Linked DNA regions of Caenorhabditis elegans. The main gene of each other region encodes a partner of the protein of the gene in region 3 in a complex. Each region holds a gene or a part of one and is shown on either strand. Other genes may lie near its edges. The genes, in order: mec-10, mec-2 and mec-6.

Region 1 (7,142 bases), on a different chromosome or scaffold from region 3:
TTTGTTCAACAAAACTTTTTTTTTGTATTTTTTATCTTTACTTCTTATGTGCATATTAAAATTAAAACAATACTACTAGATTAAAATCAAAACTCCTAATAATTTGTAATATGTTGATCTTTCAATCTTTGAGTTATTTGCAAAATTAGCTAGTTTAGTACAATTTGTTTTATTTTTCAAAGAAAATATGTAGTTTGCCATTGCTCAACTTTTTCTTTCATTTGGATAATATGTAAGGGAATGAGTGAGCAGTAATTGCAATATCTCACAACACATCGCACGTATTTTGAGCTAAAACAGGAATCAAAGTCACTTAACATTAAATCAATAGTATATAAATAGTTGACTTCATTGTGTTGTATATTTGAAGTACTAAACCATAAATAGCTTTTCAAATTTTTTCGAAATGTTTTCAAGCAAATTAGTTAAGATCCGGCTATTTTTCTATCAAACTTCTTAAAAAAAAGAAAAACAACTGAAAGTTTTACAGCTCTTACTATTAGTCATGACATGTCGAACCACCGTAAAAGTTTTGTTGAAAATTTTCTGAAGCAGTCTGGTTCTGAAATTTGGTGAAATTTGGTTCAATCATGTTAATTAGAACAAAAACCCAGAATCGCTACTTCTCTTTTAAAAGCAATAATTCAATCGTCCTTCCCGCTCTCACCTATGGTTCAGAAGCCTGGACATTCACCAAAGCTCTATCCGAACGAGTAAGAATCACACATGCCTCCCTAGAAAGACGGCTTGTGGGAATCACACTCATTCAACAACGAGAATGAGATCTTCATCGAGAAGATATTCGTGAAATGTCTCAAGTAAGAGATCCGCTCAATTTCGTGAAAAAGAGGAAGCTAGGATGGGCTGGACACGTTGCGAGAAAGAAAGACGGAAGATGGACCACGCTGATGACAGAATGGCGCCCCTGGAACTGGAAAAGGCCTGTTGGAAGACCGCCGATGCGATGAACTGATTCGCTGCGAAAGGAGATCACGACTCGGGACGCAGACGGAGAAGTCATCACCCCATGGTCCACTATAGCCAAGGACCGAAAAGAATGGCTTGCTGTGATCCGCAGGAATACCACGAATTCCTGAAGAACGGATCGTCTAAGTAACTAAGCAAGTAAGTAACAAATCATGGTTTCGTCAAAGATCAAAACAATGCGCATTCAAAATTTAGTCTCGCAGCATCTATTGTTTTGTCACTTCTATGTATTTGTCTCGCTCCACTAGGAGCTAATAAAACATATGTTTTGTATTCAAAGTTAATAGAACAATTTTCATAAAAAGGATTAAAAGACAATCCTCGCTCAAGCTATACCCTGCAAAAGTGGAAATCTGGTAATATTGTTGGGGCGCTCCCACGGTGTTTTAAATTAAGCCACGTCCAAACTTGAGACTGAAATCCAGTTTTGGATTGCTTCGCTTCCCAGTTCGGTCTAGGTGAACTTGTCGGAATGCAGCACTTGAACTGGGAACCCATATTCAGTTGCTCACGGCCACCAGTGCCGACTGAGCAATCCCATACCAATTATATTTCAGCAACCAATCAATTTTTATGGGCTCAAATTAATAAAACACTGAAAAGTTAAAATATGATGATGCAATTATTTCTCTTCAGGCATTGTGTTGGTTTTTTTTGTTCTATTCGACCATTGCGAGAAAATTGTCAATGATTAAAAGTCCTCTTAAGAAAGTAAACATAATTTAAAGAAATTTCCATACATCAAGTCCACATGATAATCACGTATTATCTTTGTGCTCACTAGCTACACTTCTATCGATATTTTGTCATCTCTCGTCTTGCGAAATGTGCAAACAGCTATTCTGTAACAGTATAATCGGTCGGTACGTGGTGCTGTTATCAGGTAAATTTCCGTTTTGCGTGACTTTTGACGCACCATCTCGTCTTACTTTTCGATGAAACACACGATTCGATGAGAACATTAAAGTTCATCTATGAACTATCACAACGATAGAATGAAGGAATTTTTTGGGATGGGGAAGTCATGCATAGCTGAGAAACGTGCACAAAACATCCGATTATGGGAAAATGAGTCCCACTTACAAATGCATTCGTTTTGTCGAATTGGTCCAAGCGCTTCACTCGGTTCTTAGAAAACGTCCGTTGATTCTGTTATTTGTACAAAATTCAAAAAATGAATCGAAACCCGCGAATGTCAAAATTTCAACCAAATCCTCGTAGTCGCAGTCGATTTCAAGATGAAACAGATTTGCGTTCGCTCAGAAGTTTCAAAACCGATTTTTCAAATTATCTCGCAAGTGACACTAACTTTCTGAATGTTGCGGAAATTATGACATCTTATGCTTACGGAGAAAGCAATAATGCACACGAAAAAGAAATTCAGTGCGATCTTCTGACAGAAAACGGTGGTATTGAAATTGACCCGACAAGATTATCTTACAGGTTTGTCTTTTTCTTCGATTATTTGTGATTTCATACTAATTTTTCAGAGAAAGAATAAGATGGCATTTACAACAGTTTTGCTATAAAACATCTAGTCATGGTATTCCAATGCTTGGGCAAGCTCCAAACAGTTTATACAGGTAATAGGCATATTGGGAGGGAGCTTCATCTTAAGAAACAGCAGAGATATGAAAAAAAAACCAGCTGTTAGCTATTTTTAAAGTTTTCAACGGTCATAATAAAAGTGTTTAGTTTATTTAATCAAAAGATCATTGAAGAAAAATAAAAAATAATAAACAAAAACACTTACTTCTCCTTTAAACAAAATTATCTAACAATATTTTTTTGTGTTTGACAGTAAACCAACCCATAAAACCTTTTTCCAGAGCTGCATGGGTATTCTTGCTTCTAATCTGTGCTATACAATTTATCAATCAGGCGGTCGCTGTGATTCAGAAGTATCAGAAGATGGATAAAATCACGGATATACAATTGAAGTTTGACACAGGCGAGTGGTTTCTGAGTTCTTCAATACGATCTTAAAAAGTGTTTTGAAAATAGTAGTAACGCATTTTTCACCTTTATAACTTTTACTTTAAGTTTTTTGTTTCCGTGCTTATAATAATATCATGTCACTGTTTTTAACTGCAATACAATACGATACCATTTTCAAAATATTCCAGGTGTAAGTTTTTAGTTTCCGTTTTTTTCAGCGCCCTTTCCTGCAATTACTCTTTGCAATTTGAACCCGTACAAAGATAGTGTCATCAGATCACATGACAGTATTAGTAAAATCGTGAGTTTCTGTTTTCCCGAGAGTTTTCCCCTCTATTCATATTTTTTTAGCTTGGTGTATTCAAAAGTGTTATGAAAAAAGCTGGTGATAGCAGCTCGGAAGCATTGGAAGAAGAGGAGGAAACCGAATATGATATGAATGGAATAACTATCCAAGCAAAAAGAAAAAAGAGAGGAGCTGGCGAGAAGGGAACATTTGAACCAGCGAACTCGGCTTGTGAGTGCGACGAGGAAGACGGTTCCAATGAATGTGAAGAAAGATCCACTGAAAAGCCATCGGGCGATAATGATATGTGCATTTGTGCTTTCGATCGGCAGACCAACGATGCGTGGCCGTGTCATAGAAAAGTAGGTCACTCTCAAAGCTTTGGTGTATTCCGCCTATTAGTTTGCATGAAGCAACTTGTTGCAAAAAAAAGAGAAAATAGAAACGTCAACAGATTTTTTTCAGGAGCAGTGGACAAATACTACATGTCAAACGTGTGATGAGCATTATTTATGCAGCAAAAAAGCTAAGAAAGGTATTGCGAGGGAGGCGTTTGAAAAGGATGCAAGTGTTGGTTTTCCGATCTGTGTGGACCAAAAAAACACACCCAACGAGAATATAAAAATGAGAAATATGAACAAAGAAACAAAGAATGTGCAAAGTACAAGTTACATAAGTTACCAATTTTGTAGGAACCAAAAGATCGGAACTCAAGAAGGAGCCGTGTATTTGTGAGAGCAAGGGACTTTTCTGTATTAAGCACGAACATGTGAGTTTTTTAGACTTTGCGTTTGGAGGATACGTAAATTTGAAATATTACTCGAGAAGCTCATAAAATTGTAAAAACTTCGGTAACATTTAAACTTCAGAAACTATTAAATTTGAGAAAATTTAACGGTGATTATTTCCAGCAGGTTTTTCAAAGAGTCACTCATTAGACAGTACATTTTCGCAAAAGGAAAATTCCAAAAAAAAATACAGAAGTATCAGATTAAGTTTTCAAATAAACATGCTGTTAACTGAAGTCCTGAAAATTACTTCCAGGCTGCAATGGTATTGAATTTATGGGAATACTTTGGCGATAGTGAAGATTTCTCTGAAATATCCACAGAAGAAAGAGAAGCATTGGGATTTGGGGTACTTTTGGATTAGTTTTTTTTTAATTTTAATTGCATTTTCCTTTCAGAACATGACAGATGAAGTTGCCATTGTAACAAAAGCCAAGGAAAATATAATTTTCGCCATGAGTGCTCTCTCGGAAGAGCAAAGGTTACCTTTCTTAAGTCTACGTGAATCATTTTAGTAGTTTTTCATTCCAGAATACTAATGTCGCAAGCTAAACACAATTTGATCCATAAATGCTCATTCAATGGAAAACCATGTGATATCGACCAGTTAGTCAAGAGTATTGTAGTGTTGAAAAAATGATTTTTCCAGAGATTTTGAGCTAGTTGCAGACCCTACATTTGGAAACTGTTTTGTTTTTAATCACGACAGAGAGATTTTCAAGTCCAGTGTGAGAGCTGGACCACAATATGGTAAGATTGGGTGGATTGTAACTTAGTTTTAGTTTTTTTCACAATTTAACAATTGAAGAAAAAACCAATAATGTGTCTGAAAATTTGCCAAATTGTGCCAAATTGACGAATTCTTACAAAAGTTAGGAACATTTGATACGGTTTCAGCAGATATATTCAAGATTGTTTCTGCCATTTAGGAAACATTCTAGACGTTTACTATAGAAATTGAACGTTGTTTTGATGTTTCCATTTTTTAGTAAATCCCAATTCTCATATTTTCTAGGCTTGCGCGTAATGCTATTTGTAAACGCGAGCGACTATCTGCCAACTTCCGAAGCCGTCGGCATACGATTGACCATTCATGACAAAGACGATTTCCCATTCCCGGACACTTTCGGCTACTCGGCACCAACCGGTTACATCTCGTCGTTCGGCATGCGCATGGTAATCCCATAATTTCTTGCTAAACTACAATGTGTTTCTCATAAAACTTCAAACATTTCAGAAGAAGATGAGTAGATTACCTGCGCCGTATGGGGATTGTGTAGAGGATGGTGCCACGTCAAACTACATCTACAAGGGTTATGCATACTCAACAGAAGTACGTTTTTAATTCATCATTCAGAAAACCAAAACACGAGTTATTATAAAATGAAAAATTATAAAAGAAAAGTATATGGTACACGCAACCATACTATACGAAAAGTGATGATTGTGTTTGTGGTCGTTAGGAAAACATTAAAATTTGTTAATTCCAGGGTTGCTATCGTACTTGTTTTCAAGAACTGATTATTGATAGATGCGGATGCAGTGATCCACGATTTCCGTCGATCGGGGGTGTTCAACCGTGTCAAGTGTTCAATAAAAACCACAGAGAGTGCCTTGAAAAGCACACACATCAAATTGGAGAAATTCACGGATCATTCAAGTGTCGGTGAGAGAAAACTATTCTAGTTTTGTTTTAGAAATATATAGATGCACCGGAACTTCTGAGTGCCTTGTGTTCATTGTTTGTGGAATGTTTCAAAAATTATCTTCCTGGGACTTTAATTAGGAATATAGAATATCCAGAAGTATATAATTTTATGCAACAAGTAATTTCACATTATTCGCTTCCCTGTCCAGACTATTTTCCAAGTATAGTGTTTCAGGTGCCAACAGCCATGCAATCAAACTATTTACACAACTTCTTATTCTGAAGCCATTTGGCCATCCCAAGCATTAAACATCAGTCTGGGACAGTGCGAAAAAGAAGCGGAGGAATGCAATGAGGAATATAAGTATGACCCGAACTCATTTAGAAATTTAGTGTAAAAGAATATTTTAGAGAAAACGCGGCAATGTTAGAGGTTTTCTACGAGGCACTAAACTTTGAAGTTCTATCAGAGTCTGAAGCTTATGGTGTAAGTTAAACTTTGACGTGTGCGCAATAAAAACAGAGCTTTAAAGCTTATACGCTAATTGAACTACAATCCCAAACGTTTTTTTCAGATTGTAAAAATGATGGCTGATTTTGGAGGACACCTTGGACTTTGGTCAGGAGTTTCTGTTATGACTTGTTGTGAGTTTGTGTGTCTAGCCTTTGAGCTGATATACATGGCAATTGCACATCACATAAACCAGCAGAGAATTCGACGACGAGAAAATGCTGCAAATGAGTATTGAGAGCCATGAGAAAAAAGGAGGTGCAACTCATTTTATTTTATTTTCATTTTCCGATATTAAACGAATGTAGCAGATGCACCTTTTTAATGTTTAAAAAAATTTTGTAACCAAAACTGAAAAATTAAATCTAGTTCTGTTATCATTATATAATTCGGAAAATAAATTTCTTATTTCATTTTTTGGGTACACACTTTTGCATTTTTTTTTTGTAATTCTTATTTTTATTTCATTGTGGGAAAATATAAAAAAAAAATATATTGAGTGCTTGAAATGAAGTTTGAAAAAAGTTGGTATTTCTTCTGTATACTCAGACTTCATACAAGCATCGAGCTTAGTAGAGAAGTGGCAGAGAAAAATTTGTGAATTCGGTTTTATAAGTTCTTTACTTTATAATTTTTCTCAGTCAAAACTCTTTTTAGTTTTGTGGTCATATTTTCTTTTTTAGTGGTTGAAAAAACATTTGGTTAGTTTTCAAGATTAAAAAAAGAACTGAGTAACTTATTCACCATTAAAGATTAACATTTTTTCAAAAAATGAATTATTTTTATTCTTGCTAATACATTTTTTATGAAATCATAAATTAAAAATGATTTCGTATTTTCAGTACCAATTAAGATTATTTGAGTATTATGATTTATTTATGGACCGGAACTTTCTCTTTTTACGGGAAACATTAATTTTGATTACACAGGTGTTAGCAATGGGTCTGACAGCAACTTTTCTTTCGATCAAAAGAAACATATGAA
Region 2 (5,030 bases), on a different chromosome or scaffold from region 3:
TAATGCAGAGTAAGCTTCTGCTATTCTTGATTGCGTGATGGCCATAGAAGTCGCTTTCGAGGCAAAGTCGGAAATCTGTGTGTTGAGAAGAAAAGGAAGAATGAGTTAATGAGGGCTAGGAAAAGTGAGACGAGAGCTCGAAATTCCTGAGAGCACCTAAAAGCGTCCACCCAAAGAGTGTTAACGTTATGTTTCCCATTTTGCAAAATTGTCAGATACTTCAAGTACTTTCAACTTTTTCAATAAGCCCCCGCAACGACAAGGTTGATTCAATTGGTGTGCATCCTTTTTTCATAACACATACACACATGAAATACATCTTCCATACGTTATGTGTATTTGCAAAAAAAACGCTTCACACCGGAATGACACGTTTCCGCACTCTCAGTTAGCAACAACTGGAGTGTGTTCAAAACAAAAAAAAACGAGAATTCGCAACCAATCTGAAGATGAAAACGGCTAGTTCAAATGGCTTTGTGCATTCGTCATAGTTGTTTCTCAAAACACTCCCAATGGTTTTATGATACTTAAAAATATAATGAAAAAATCTCAAGTTTCACATAATCCATCTTTGTGTCTTTTTTCGAAAGTTATTCTTGACGATGGCGTGGGAAACATATAAACAATACAACAAGAAGTCAGAAGGAGGAGGATATAGTCAGGAGGAGGAGGAGTGAAAAAGAGCATTTAATGAAAATGCAGTGAATCGTAAAGGACTAGATGTTGTAAATTGTGTGTCTAGTTTAATTTTTTACACGAGGAATTCATGAATAAGAAATATAATACAAAGTAAGAAATATGGAAAATTCGAACTAACAAAAAAGGGTATACTGACAATTTTGATAACAGTTGTCAAAAAAGGACCATATGCAAAAAAATACGTTTCGTAAATAGTTGTTTGTTTTGAAAATAGGGGTTATTAAAATGTTATGGCTAAATATCATAGTAAAACAAACTTATACTCTAAAATTAAAACAAAACATTTCTTCGATACATTTTATTTCTATCTTTATTTTGAATTGAGTTTTGGAAATTGTGGAAATTAAGCTGTATGTTTATTTTTGGGTTTTTTAAACTTTAAAATTTATTTTCCATTTTCCGCCTTCAATCCAATCATACATTTATATTTTAGAACACATTTTTAAAAGTAGGTCGTATCATCCAAAAATGTATCAAATTTTTTAAAACCATTTTTTGTTGCAAATTTAAAAATCATAAAGAATTTGGATAATTGCATAATCATTTTTTAAAGAGTTTTTTACAGCACTCTGTCCCTTTGACCCATTTTCTTTAATTTCATACAACCTAAAATTATCATAGTTTTCCCCAAGAGGTAACATTGAAAGTTAGGAATTTTCATAAACAAATTGCGTTAACGTGAGGAATCTGATAAGAAACGTGGACTACTTTTAATTACAAATTTAGAGAGTGTTGAGAGTTTCAGAAGAGTTACAGAAGAGTTATTTCAGCCACCATTATGTATCTCATGATTAAATGTATTTCTAATAATAGTTATTTAAAACTATATCATTTGAAATTAATTTACGGCTTCGAAGCGTTTCGATTTTCAAGAAAATTTTCAGCTTCCCAGGTTTCCCGTTCACTGTTTCCATTCGCCTTTTCCCGCCTGACCTTTTTCCCAAGAAACTACTATTCTAAAGTCCGACCTAACATATGCATATAAGTCCTACTATTCAAGTTTCTGGCAACTTCAAGATCCCAAAACGAAAATGTTCTCGAAACTCTTGCATTACAATGGACAAGTCACGCCAGAGACAATAGGCTAGTAGCAAGTTCTTCGCTGCACTGTTACCCCTAACTGTTTTCTTTGCATTTGTAATCAGGGACGTCATATACCAATTGGAGCAGAGTCGTCTTCTTTTTGGGGTGTGAGCCCGGCTTGCTCAACGAAATCCATACATTCGAGAGTACATCCCACTATTCGCCGAGTGTTTATGTGTCATTCGTGAATCGTGTCCCAGTAGTCTGTGACTGAATGCCCACACATTCAATCTATGAGCGCCACAATGTCATCAGCTCGCAATTCGGTCGTTTCACTATCTTCAAACGGCTCTGTCAAGGTCGAGACTCGATTGGTTAGCAACGAACGGAGCTCTAGTATTCAACAGGAGGGCGCCATGCTCCCATCATCCAGCTCCAAAGACGATGATCTCTTATCAACGTCATCGGACGAAGTTGAGAATATGGCGACCAGGACTTTACAGCAACTTGAAGAGGTGTGTGTCTATTAAATTTTTTGGTTTCCGGATTATCGTATTTGTTTCCGCTGTAGAGTACATCAATCATCTCGGCCAACAGCGACGATGACTCGGTGAAAAAAGAAAAGCAAGCTGAAAAGGATGTGGAGAAAGGAAATGGAAAAGAGGAAAAAGGTAGAAACTACAATCTTTGTCACTTATTTGATTGAATTAGTCATACATATGTAGAAACTCGTGCTTTCATTTGTTAAGTGACAACTTTAAGGTTCAAAATGCTGCTTTACTCTAAAAAAATGTTCGAAATTGTTTAAAATTGTGACACGCTGTTGTTAAAGCTTTAACAACTTATTCAATTATTTAAATTTCTGAAAACTGATGTAAAATACAGTATTTTATTGGGTCATATCTTAGTTGTCCTTTGTTATATCTTTGAAAAAAAGTCAAATGACGAATGCTGTGTTGTTTCTATTTTCATTGTTCTGTAGTTAATCATTTAGTGGTATTCTCACAATGAACCTAAATTTAATTTTTCAAAATAAAACAGTGAAGTGCAATACAAATAGAGGAAATGCGGTTAGCCGACAAGTAATGCTTAAATGTAATTCGAGTTAACCTTGGTACCGATTTGTCTCACAAGTTTCTGGTTATATATACTTCGGTAATATTCTTTATCATTTAAACGTTTGAATGCGCCAGTGGAATTGTGAAATACTACTGGTAAATAAAAACCAACCAAATATAATAATAAAACGTTTCAGTTTTTGAAAATGTTTTATAGACAGTCAAAAAGTGGCGATTTCTGAGTTCATGCTACATTTTGAAAATGCTAAAAATCCCTTGTTTGGCGAGACCCAAGCGCCTACATAGAATACGGCAAAGTTTCTCACCTTTCGACTTCTACATAATATGAAAATTCATTATTTTTAACAGTCAAGTTCAACACAGGCTGGCTCATAATTTTCAATGATCCTGTTTTTTTCTGATCTCTATTTCTTGTCGTATACATGTCGTCGTGCTTCGCCAATTCTCATGATGAAATTCAATAACAAATTCTGATTACTAGTTGTAACACCTCCAATTCTGGTTTTCCTTTGTTTTTTTTCTTGTAGCAAGTTGAGTTGTTTGATATAACTGAGTTCTTAAATCTTATAAACGAAAATTAAGAAATCAGTACTAATAACTAGAAACTATATATTGAAGAAATTGGAGATGTTGTAACATTACGCGTTTGTCGTTCCTACAAAACAAAAAAAATAGCAACAGACTTTCTTAAGCTTAAGGCTTAAGGTGAATTAACAATTAACTACGTTGAACTCAACGATTCTCGAATCTGGTTGAAAACAGCAAATTTACCGACTCATTAATAGTAATTGAATATCAGTACGATTGTTTACTACTTATAAAAAATGGCAGCACCGGTTAGACGTTCCTTTTAAGTGTCATTCTTTCAAATTATCGTGAACTTCCCTTTTATTATCCTGCTCGCACCGGTGTTTTCCACATATTTTCGCAGTTTTCAGTTTTTAGTATTTCCCAGCGTTCCAGCTCACCACGAGGTACCCGACTGACGACAAAAATAATAGACATATTTAGCAGATAAGCAGTCGCTAAGTAAATGAGAATTCTACTTGTTTGTTTCGTCTTCTGTCTGTTCCCGAACCCCTCCCTGTCAGGAGTTTATGTCTGAAAGTAGTTTACGCACCTCATTTTTCTTTCTCGCTTTCATAAGCCAGATGTATATTGCCTCTGGAAAATAGCCTCTCTTTCGGGCCTCGGTTATTTGTATGTTTTTCAACTTAGTCGGTTTTTGTCGCGGGACTCTTTTTTTCCTGTTCCCTTTTTCTGAAAGTTTGGGTGTTGTTTGAAGAAAAAATATAAATAAAAAACAAACGGTGTTCTTGACATATCATTTTGAATATTATGCACGTTCTCGGTCTGCCTTTATTTTTAAAATATTTTTGGCGGCTGTTTTGTAACAAAATTCAGTTTTTATTTTCTTTAGCACAAAATTAAAAAATAACCCGTTCAAAAAGATTGACTTTAAGAATTCTGAGAAAAGACAAATTATTTTTAAGTTTTTTATTGTTCCTGTCGTCGAAGTAAGGCATAACAAAAATCTCATTTTAGAAACGATGTTTTTCACATTTTTTGTTTTGTTAAAGTTTTCTACAAGAAAAGTAATTTGGAAGAGTGAAAGAGTTTATCACAGTAGAGAACACTGCAACCAAAAAAAGCAACAAAAACATAGTCAGAAGAAGTTAGTCACACTATGAGCTTCGTCTTCTTAAACAAAAATTTTCGGTTCGAAGAATTTAAGCATTCCCTCTTAAATTTTTACGCTTTCTCTAGTTGTTCAATGTTTACTCTGAGTGCAATCATCGAGAAAACGTAATTTTCTCTCTTTTTTGGCCTTTATGTCTGAAAAATCTTTAATTAAACATAAAAGTGCTTTCGTCCTATTCTTTCTTGATTCCACACAATGGAATTAGGCATGAAGCAGATATGCAACATTGGTGTGGTTTTAAAGTCTACCTGCTCTTTTTTCGTTTTCTCAACACAACCAATTTAGGCCATTCGTTATAAATGCAAATCTCTAAATTTCGAAATTTCAGTAAAAAAGCAATGCTTTCTCAGAAAACGTTTGTTTCTCAAAATGGAAAATGGCTTCACAGTTAACCCCATAAGTTGCCAATAGTTTTCCTCATATATTTTCCTAAACTTTTTTTTTCAGTAGTTCCTCAAAATAAGCATACATCAAATTATCAAAACACGATTAAAACATTTTATGTAGAAAAAATTTTTCTGGTCAAC
Region 3 (5,490 bases):
CAAAAATGTTGGAATAAAAACAGTTTGAGGGGGTACGTTTTCGTAAGGGGATTTTTTCGTAAGGAACGCTTTCAGTAGGGCAATGTGCGGCGCGCCTTTTCGCAAGCCCGCCGCACAGTCCTTCGCAATGCGCCGCACGGCTTTTTGCAATGCGCCGCACGCTTCTTCGTATTTATTTATTTATTTTTCCAACAGGAAATTTCGAACGGAATTCAATTAAAAACGGATTTTTAATGGAAATTAATTAGTTTTATTCGAGCTAAATACGGATATTTTCAGAATTTTCGATGACAAAAACGGGTTTCAATCGATTTCGAATCGATCAAAATTAATATTAATCGAAAATGAGCGTTTCCTTCCCGGAAAAAGAAGAACTTGATGCTGAGAGTGATCCAAGCGGAGCCAAACGCTTTTTTAGAGGCAAGTATTGATGTCTAAAGATTAATTGAAGAGTGAAAAGTATTTTTCAGCGTTCACAAACAACCCGAGTGAGCAGCAATTTTCCAAGCTGAAGGCAAGTTTCTTTTTGTAGTTTTTTAAGTTCTCAAATAGGTATATAACATCGATTTGTTTTGTTTTCCAGAGAATGTATCATCACAACGACTATCAAAACCTGCGAGGAGTGATTCAAAAGACCATTCAACTATCAAAATCATTGATCCTAGACTTGAAGAGACGATCCGGAAATCGAACAACCGCTGTGCCATTATACAAAAACCCCGATTTCTGTACTTCAGTGTTTTTGAATTATACCGGTTTCAGTGCTTTTAATGAGAAACTTTTCCCTTTTATGGAAATTCCGAAATGCTATCACTGATCTCTTTGTTTACCTCTGTGCCATTAGATTATAGAAACAATTTTCCATACTCAGGTTATCCAAATTTCGCCATGATTTTTCTTACTTAATTTAATCGAATTAACTTTTGTTTGCAGTTTTATTTTCCATTTCGACTGAATAAAAAATCACTTCTATCATTTTAATCGTTTGGCTCCGCCTGGATCACTCTCAGCATCAAGTTCTTCTTTTTCCGGGAAGGAAACGCTCATTTTCGATTAATATTAATTTTGATCGATTCGAAATCGATTGAAACCCGTTTTTGTCATCGAAAATTCTGAAAAAAATATCCGTATTTAGCTCGAATAAAACTAATTAATTTCCATTAAAAATCCGTTTTTAATTGAATTCCGTTCGAAATTTCCTGTTGGAAAAATAAATAAATAAATACGAAGAAGCGTGCGGCGCATTGCAAAAAGCCGTGCGGCGCATTGCGAAGGACTGTGCGGCGGGCTTGCGAAAAGGCGCGCCGCACATTGCCCTACTGAAAGCGTTCCTTACGAAAAAATCCCCTTACGAAAACGTACCCCCTCAACAGTTTTTTTGGTAAATGCAGTTGCGCTCCGATGATAATATGTCGCAACGGAATGGTGGGAATTCAAATAAATTATTCTGTGTACACACACCAACAAGCAACAAAAAAAAATGTTTATGAACTTTTAAAAACGGAAATTAAAAATTGCAGAATCAATTATCACAAACTAATTATGCATTTGTCCATCATTTTCTGAGTTAACGCTACACCCATTTAAAATTCACAACAGACTTGCCAAAAGAAAATGAGAAGAACGGAGGAAGTGCTCACCAAGAGCAGAAGAAAGCTCGTTCAGCTGAATTCTTCCCTCTATCTCTGGTTGCCTCCTAGTTTTCAATACTATCTCTCCTTCAGCAGATGGCCACTGGGACCAGCCGTTTCCAAGGAGGTCCACACAGTCAAATCCTTTGTTTTAGTATATGCTGTATGTTTTACTTGAGAGCGGAATATCCATTTTAAACTTTAAAAGTGGTCCGTTGTTTTGACTTTTCCGATATAAAAATTGATAAAAGCTCACTGAACTTGATTAGCATTTCATTTTATCTCGACTTTAGAAAGTAACCTTCCATCCAGTAGTGATCCTTTTAAAAAATGAAAAATGTTAAGTGTTCTTTATTTAAATCAGGTTTTCTATTTTACAGAAAATGGGTCTCCAATCGGCAGCTGCTCATTTCATAAATCGTTTTATTATTTGGATTACTATATTTATGGTTGCATGCTTTTTGTTGAGACTTTTGTAAGTTCAAGGGCACAATTTTAGTGATTATATTAACTTTTTGGTTTTCAGAGTAGTACTTGATCTCAACAAACGTGTTTATAATCACACACCTGGTCCCTGCAGAGTTCTAACAGATAACTGTAAGTTTAAATTTTTTTGAATTTTAAATTTTGTAACTGAAAAAAGGTTTTATTACAATTAGAAACACATTATGCGGATATCAAAAGTAAAAAATTATAAAAAGAGTCATCCATCTATATTCCAGATAAAGGAACCGCCGGCATGACATACGTCGAATCTCAAAAACGGGTGTACATAACATTGGGGTACGGTAGAGCACACGATTTGAAAACAAAAACTGGCATCGCATTTTATAAAACAAATCGAACAGATGGAAGGAGTCAGCAGGAAATGTATGATTTGATTGAAATGACAATCAATTGGAATGGTTATGAATATAAGGTGTGTAATTTAGTTTGAATAGCCTGAAAAGAATTGAAATATTGATTTGCTTCAGCAGTGGGGGCAATATAATGAATGAACTACTCGGTGATTGAGAGAAACTTTCTGCCAAACTTTTGCAAGTTTCAGACAACATTTTGAAAATGAGAGACTTAATCAGATCAGCAGATTGGTAGCTTATCTGAGCAGTTTTAACAGCCAGGAAGCCAGGTTGTTGGCAAAAAGTTTTCCCGAGATCCGAGTAAGAAGCCCCAATCGGGAAAGTTATATACTTTCGAGAATTATAATAAAACCTGAAACCTAGAACCTTTATTTTCAGAAAGAGTTCATTCCAACAGGAATTGATTCATATTCTTCATCAAATGGTCGTGTACTTCTCTATGTAATAAATGCTCATCCAAATCATCAATGTATTCATTTCTTCCAAATTGTTGAAAGTTCAAAACTTAATCATCGAAAAGCAATATGTGATCCTTCATTTTCAAGTCTCCAGGATATTGCTGTAGTAGGACCAGATCGACTGTTTGTCACAAATATGGCTGCATTTGGGAGAGGATGGGCTCAAATTTTGGAATTTTCATTACAGGTGAGTTGACCTCCAATTATGGAATCATATCAAATGACAATCGGTTTATTACAGACTGGACAAGGAGCTGTATACTACTATGATGGTAGCAAACTATCAACTGCTGCTTCCAGCCTGATTGCACCTACGGGAATTGGATATGACGCAAAACGAAGAATTCTTTATGTTGGATCTATGATCAGAGAGGTTTGGAACGTTTTGGTAAATTTCCAAATATACAAAACAATTTGGGCTTTTGAATAAAACTTCGAGACACTTCGGCGGTTTTTTTTATGCTGAAATTGTTTCAAGTTATTCGAAAAGCTGCCTTCACAAAATTTTAAACACTTTGTTTGTTTCGATGATACGCATTGGCATTTTCTAACTTTTCCCTGGGATCACCTATGTTAGAAACACGGAAGTCATTAAAAAAAGCTAAATAGTTTCGCAGCATCTGCCAAGAAGATACAATTCTGAGGTCTACTGAAAAAGTTGTTGCAACCGACAGCTTTGATTTTATATTATTTCTGTTACGTTTCAAAAATATAATTTGTTTAAAAAAACTGTCCTGAAGCACAAACAACTTTTGAATGAAGAATTTTCAGTCAATATTCGCTTACAAAGTAGCGAAGGATACAACACTTGAATTATTGTATGAAATGATGTTATTGACATCACCAATTGGAGTTTTCGTTGAATCAAAAACTGGAGATATTTGGATTGCTGCTCATCCAGTTATTCATGAATCTGCATGGCATTATACTCATCCAGAAAATCAAAATATACATTCTCCAAGCCAAATTTTGAGAATAAGGATACAGGTTTGTATTATTTTTGTTTTTATTTCAAAGTTTATTAGGCAGAAATTTAAAACTCAGATCTGAATACAGTGTTTCTAATTCAATCTTTAAAAAACGATTTATTTCATTTTCAAATAAAAATAAATTTTAACCAGCAACTATATAGTGGAAAGATTCCTGTTCCAATTTGAAGGGAGCAGTTCCTGCGTAGATATATGGAAATATTATATAAGGCTCCACAAATGACATTATAATAAATAAAAATAAAACTAGAATAAAAACCTTGAAATTAGTCAATACCATAATGAATTTAATGAAAAACAAGTAATCTCCGGAGAGGTTTAAATATATAAATTTATTCGATTCAAGTGTTCTTATGACTGAAACACATGATATGTTCGACCACAGACAAGGTACTTCAGACTAAAAATGATTGAGACAAGTGTTGTGAATATTGGAAAAATTTAGTTCCGTTTCACGAGATTTCGAAAAATTTTGAAGAATTTTGAAACTTTTTCTTTTTTTTCGAAGCATTTTTAGTGCATCGAGCTTTCCCAGTTTTCTTCTATTTATTAAAATAATCTAGGTATTCTACCCCGTTCAAATTTTTTTGTAAAATAAATTTGAAACTTCAATATAATAGCTTCTTTATCATTTGTAAAGTATCAAATTACGCTAACCAAGCACTTTGTTCCCATAAACATGTTGTCAAGACTCGAACTTATCAGACTCTGTTTCCACGTTTTTTATCAATTCATTCAAATACTAATCAATGCGAAAAAGCGTCAAAAAATCAAAAATCGCATTTGTTTCAGGAAGAAGGCAACTCTTGGGTAACAACTGAACCGTATGCAAACGATGGAGCAACTATTTCGGCGAGTTCATCAGTTGTATTCACTGATGAACAAATGTTAATTGGAAGTTCATTTGGAAGACTTCTTCATTGTGATCTTACGCATTCATATATTACATAGTCAAACTTTTAGAGCTTATTTAAAAAATAAACCGATGAATATGATCTAGAAACAGATGTGTTGTAGACATTGTATCTAGATTTATTTATAAACTTGTCGAGGCGTAACGGGGGCGCCACGCCTCCACCCCTTTTCAATAGCCTTCCAGCGTTTTAGAGGAAAGTCGATTTATGAGAATTTAGCAGCTTTCAAATTAACTAATTTCTCGTCACAATTAGTCATTCTTAGTGTCTTGATTCGAAGTCTGATAATATATTTCTCATTTATTGCCATAAAGAAATAATTGTAATACTTTAAATTTCAATATTTACTATTAAATATCACAGGAAGACAAGAACAAAGCTCATGTTGGGAATTGAGAATCTATTCGCGAACGTACTCGCGGCGAGAAACAACGGATCCAGATTCAAGAGTAGTGATAAGCTTGTCTCCTTCGAGCCAACGGGTGATAATTGATTCCTTATCAGAGTCCTTGATCTTCTTTTGAATGTGAATGAATTTTCCGTTCTCGAAGTTGACAACTGACTTGACGGTACGGCCATCTGGAGTGGTCTCATCGAATTCCTGGGATAAAAACATTAAATATAAGTCTGAAGAATGC

Evidence for each region.
Region 1: mec-6 (region 3) and mec-10 share a complex: the UniProt entries of both Caenorhabditis elegans proteins name them as parts of the non-voltage-gated amiloride-sensitive cation channel complex.
Region 2: mec-6 (region 3) and mec-2 share a complex: the UniProt entries of both Caenorhabditis elegans proteins name them as parts of the non-voltage-gated amiloride-sensitive cation channel complex.

The regions. Positions count from the first base shown.
Region 1 is NC_003284.9:8,465,260-8,472,401, reverse strand, and holds mec-10 (Degenerin mec-10), read left to right. Parts: upstream 1-2,087; 5' UTR 2,088-2,161; coding exon 2,162-2,430; intron 2,431-2,477; coding exon 2,478-2,570; intron 2,571-2,816; coding exon 2,817-2,938; intron 2,939-3,143; coding exon 3,144-3,226; intron 3,227-3,276; coding exon 3,277-3,573; intron 3,574-3,676; coding exon 3,677-3,746; intron 3,747-3,903; coding exon 3,904-3,980; intron 3,981-4,255; coding exon 4,256-4,348; intron 4,349-4,397; coding exon 4,398-4,480; intron 4,481-4,530; coding exon 4,531-4,605; intron 4,606-4,648; coding exon 4,649-4,749; intron 4,750-5,014; coding exon 5,015-5,175; intron 5,176-5,236; coding exon 5,237-5,332; intron 5,333-5,489; coding exon 5,490-5,665; intron 5,666-5,882; coding exon 5,883-6,011; intron 6,012-6,058; coding exon 6,059-6,134; intron 6,135-6,222; coding exon 6,223-6,396; 3' UTR 6,397-6,642; downstream 6,643-7,142. UniProt on the Caenorhabditis elegans protein: Subunit of an amiloride-sensitive cation channel (degenerin channel complex) permeable for sodium, potassium, lithium and N-methylglucamine, and required for mechanosensory transduction (touch sensitivity).
Region 2 is NC_003284.9:5,573,954-5,578,983, forward strand, and holds the start of mec-2 (Band 7 domain-containing protein), read left to right. Parts: upstream 1-2,015; coding exon 2,016-2,237; intron 2,238-2,293; coding exon 2,294-2,393; intron 2,394-3,992; exon of another isoform or gene 3,993-4,047; intron 4,048-5,030. UniProt on the Caenorhabditis elegans protein: Subunit of an amiloride-sensitive cation channel (degenerin channel complex) permeable for sodium, potassium, lithium and N-methylglucamine, and required for mechanosensory transduction (touch sensitivity).
Region 3 is NC_003279.8:6,723,153-6,728,642, forward strand, and holds mec-6 (Mechanosensory abnormality protein 6), read left to right. Parts: upstream 1-2,011; 5' UTR 2,012-2,014; coding exon 2,015-2,106; intron 2,107-2,157; coding exon 2,158-2,228; intron 2,229-2,353; coding exon 2,354-2,550; intron 2,551-2,869; coding exon 2,870-3,136; intron 3,137-3,190; coding exon 3,191-3,322; intron 3,323-3,720; coding exon 3,721-3,936; intron 3,937-4,730; coding exon 4,731-4,889; 3' UTR 4,890-4,937; downstream 4,938-5,490. Other genes in the region: lbp-6 (Fatty acid-binding protein homolog 6), read right to left, coding at 5,253-5,453. UniProt on the Caenorhabditis elegans protein: Subunit of an amiloride-sensitive cation channel (degenerin channel complex) permeable for sodium, potassium, lithium and N-methylglucamine, and required for mechanosensory transduction (touch sensitivity).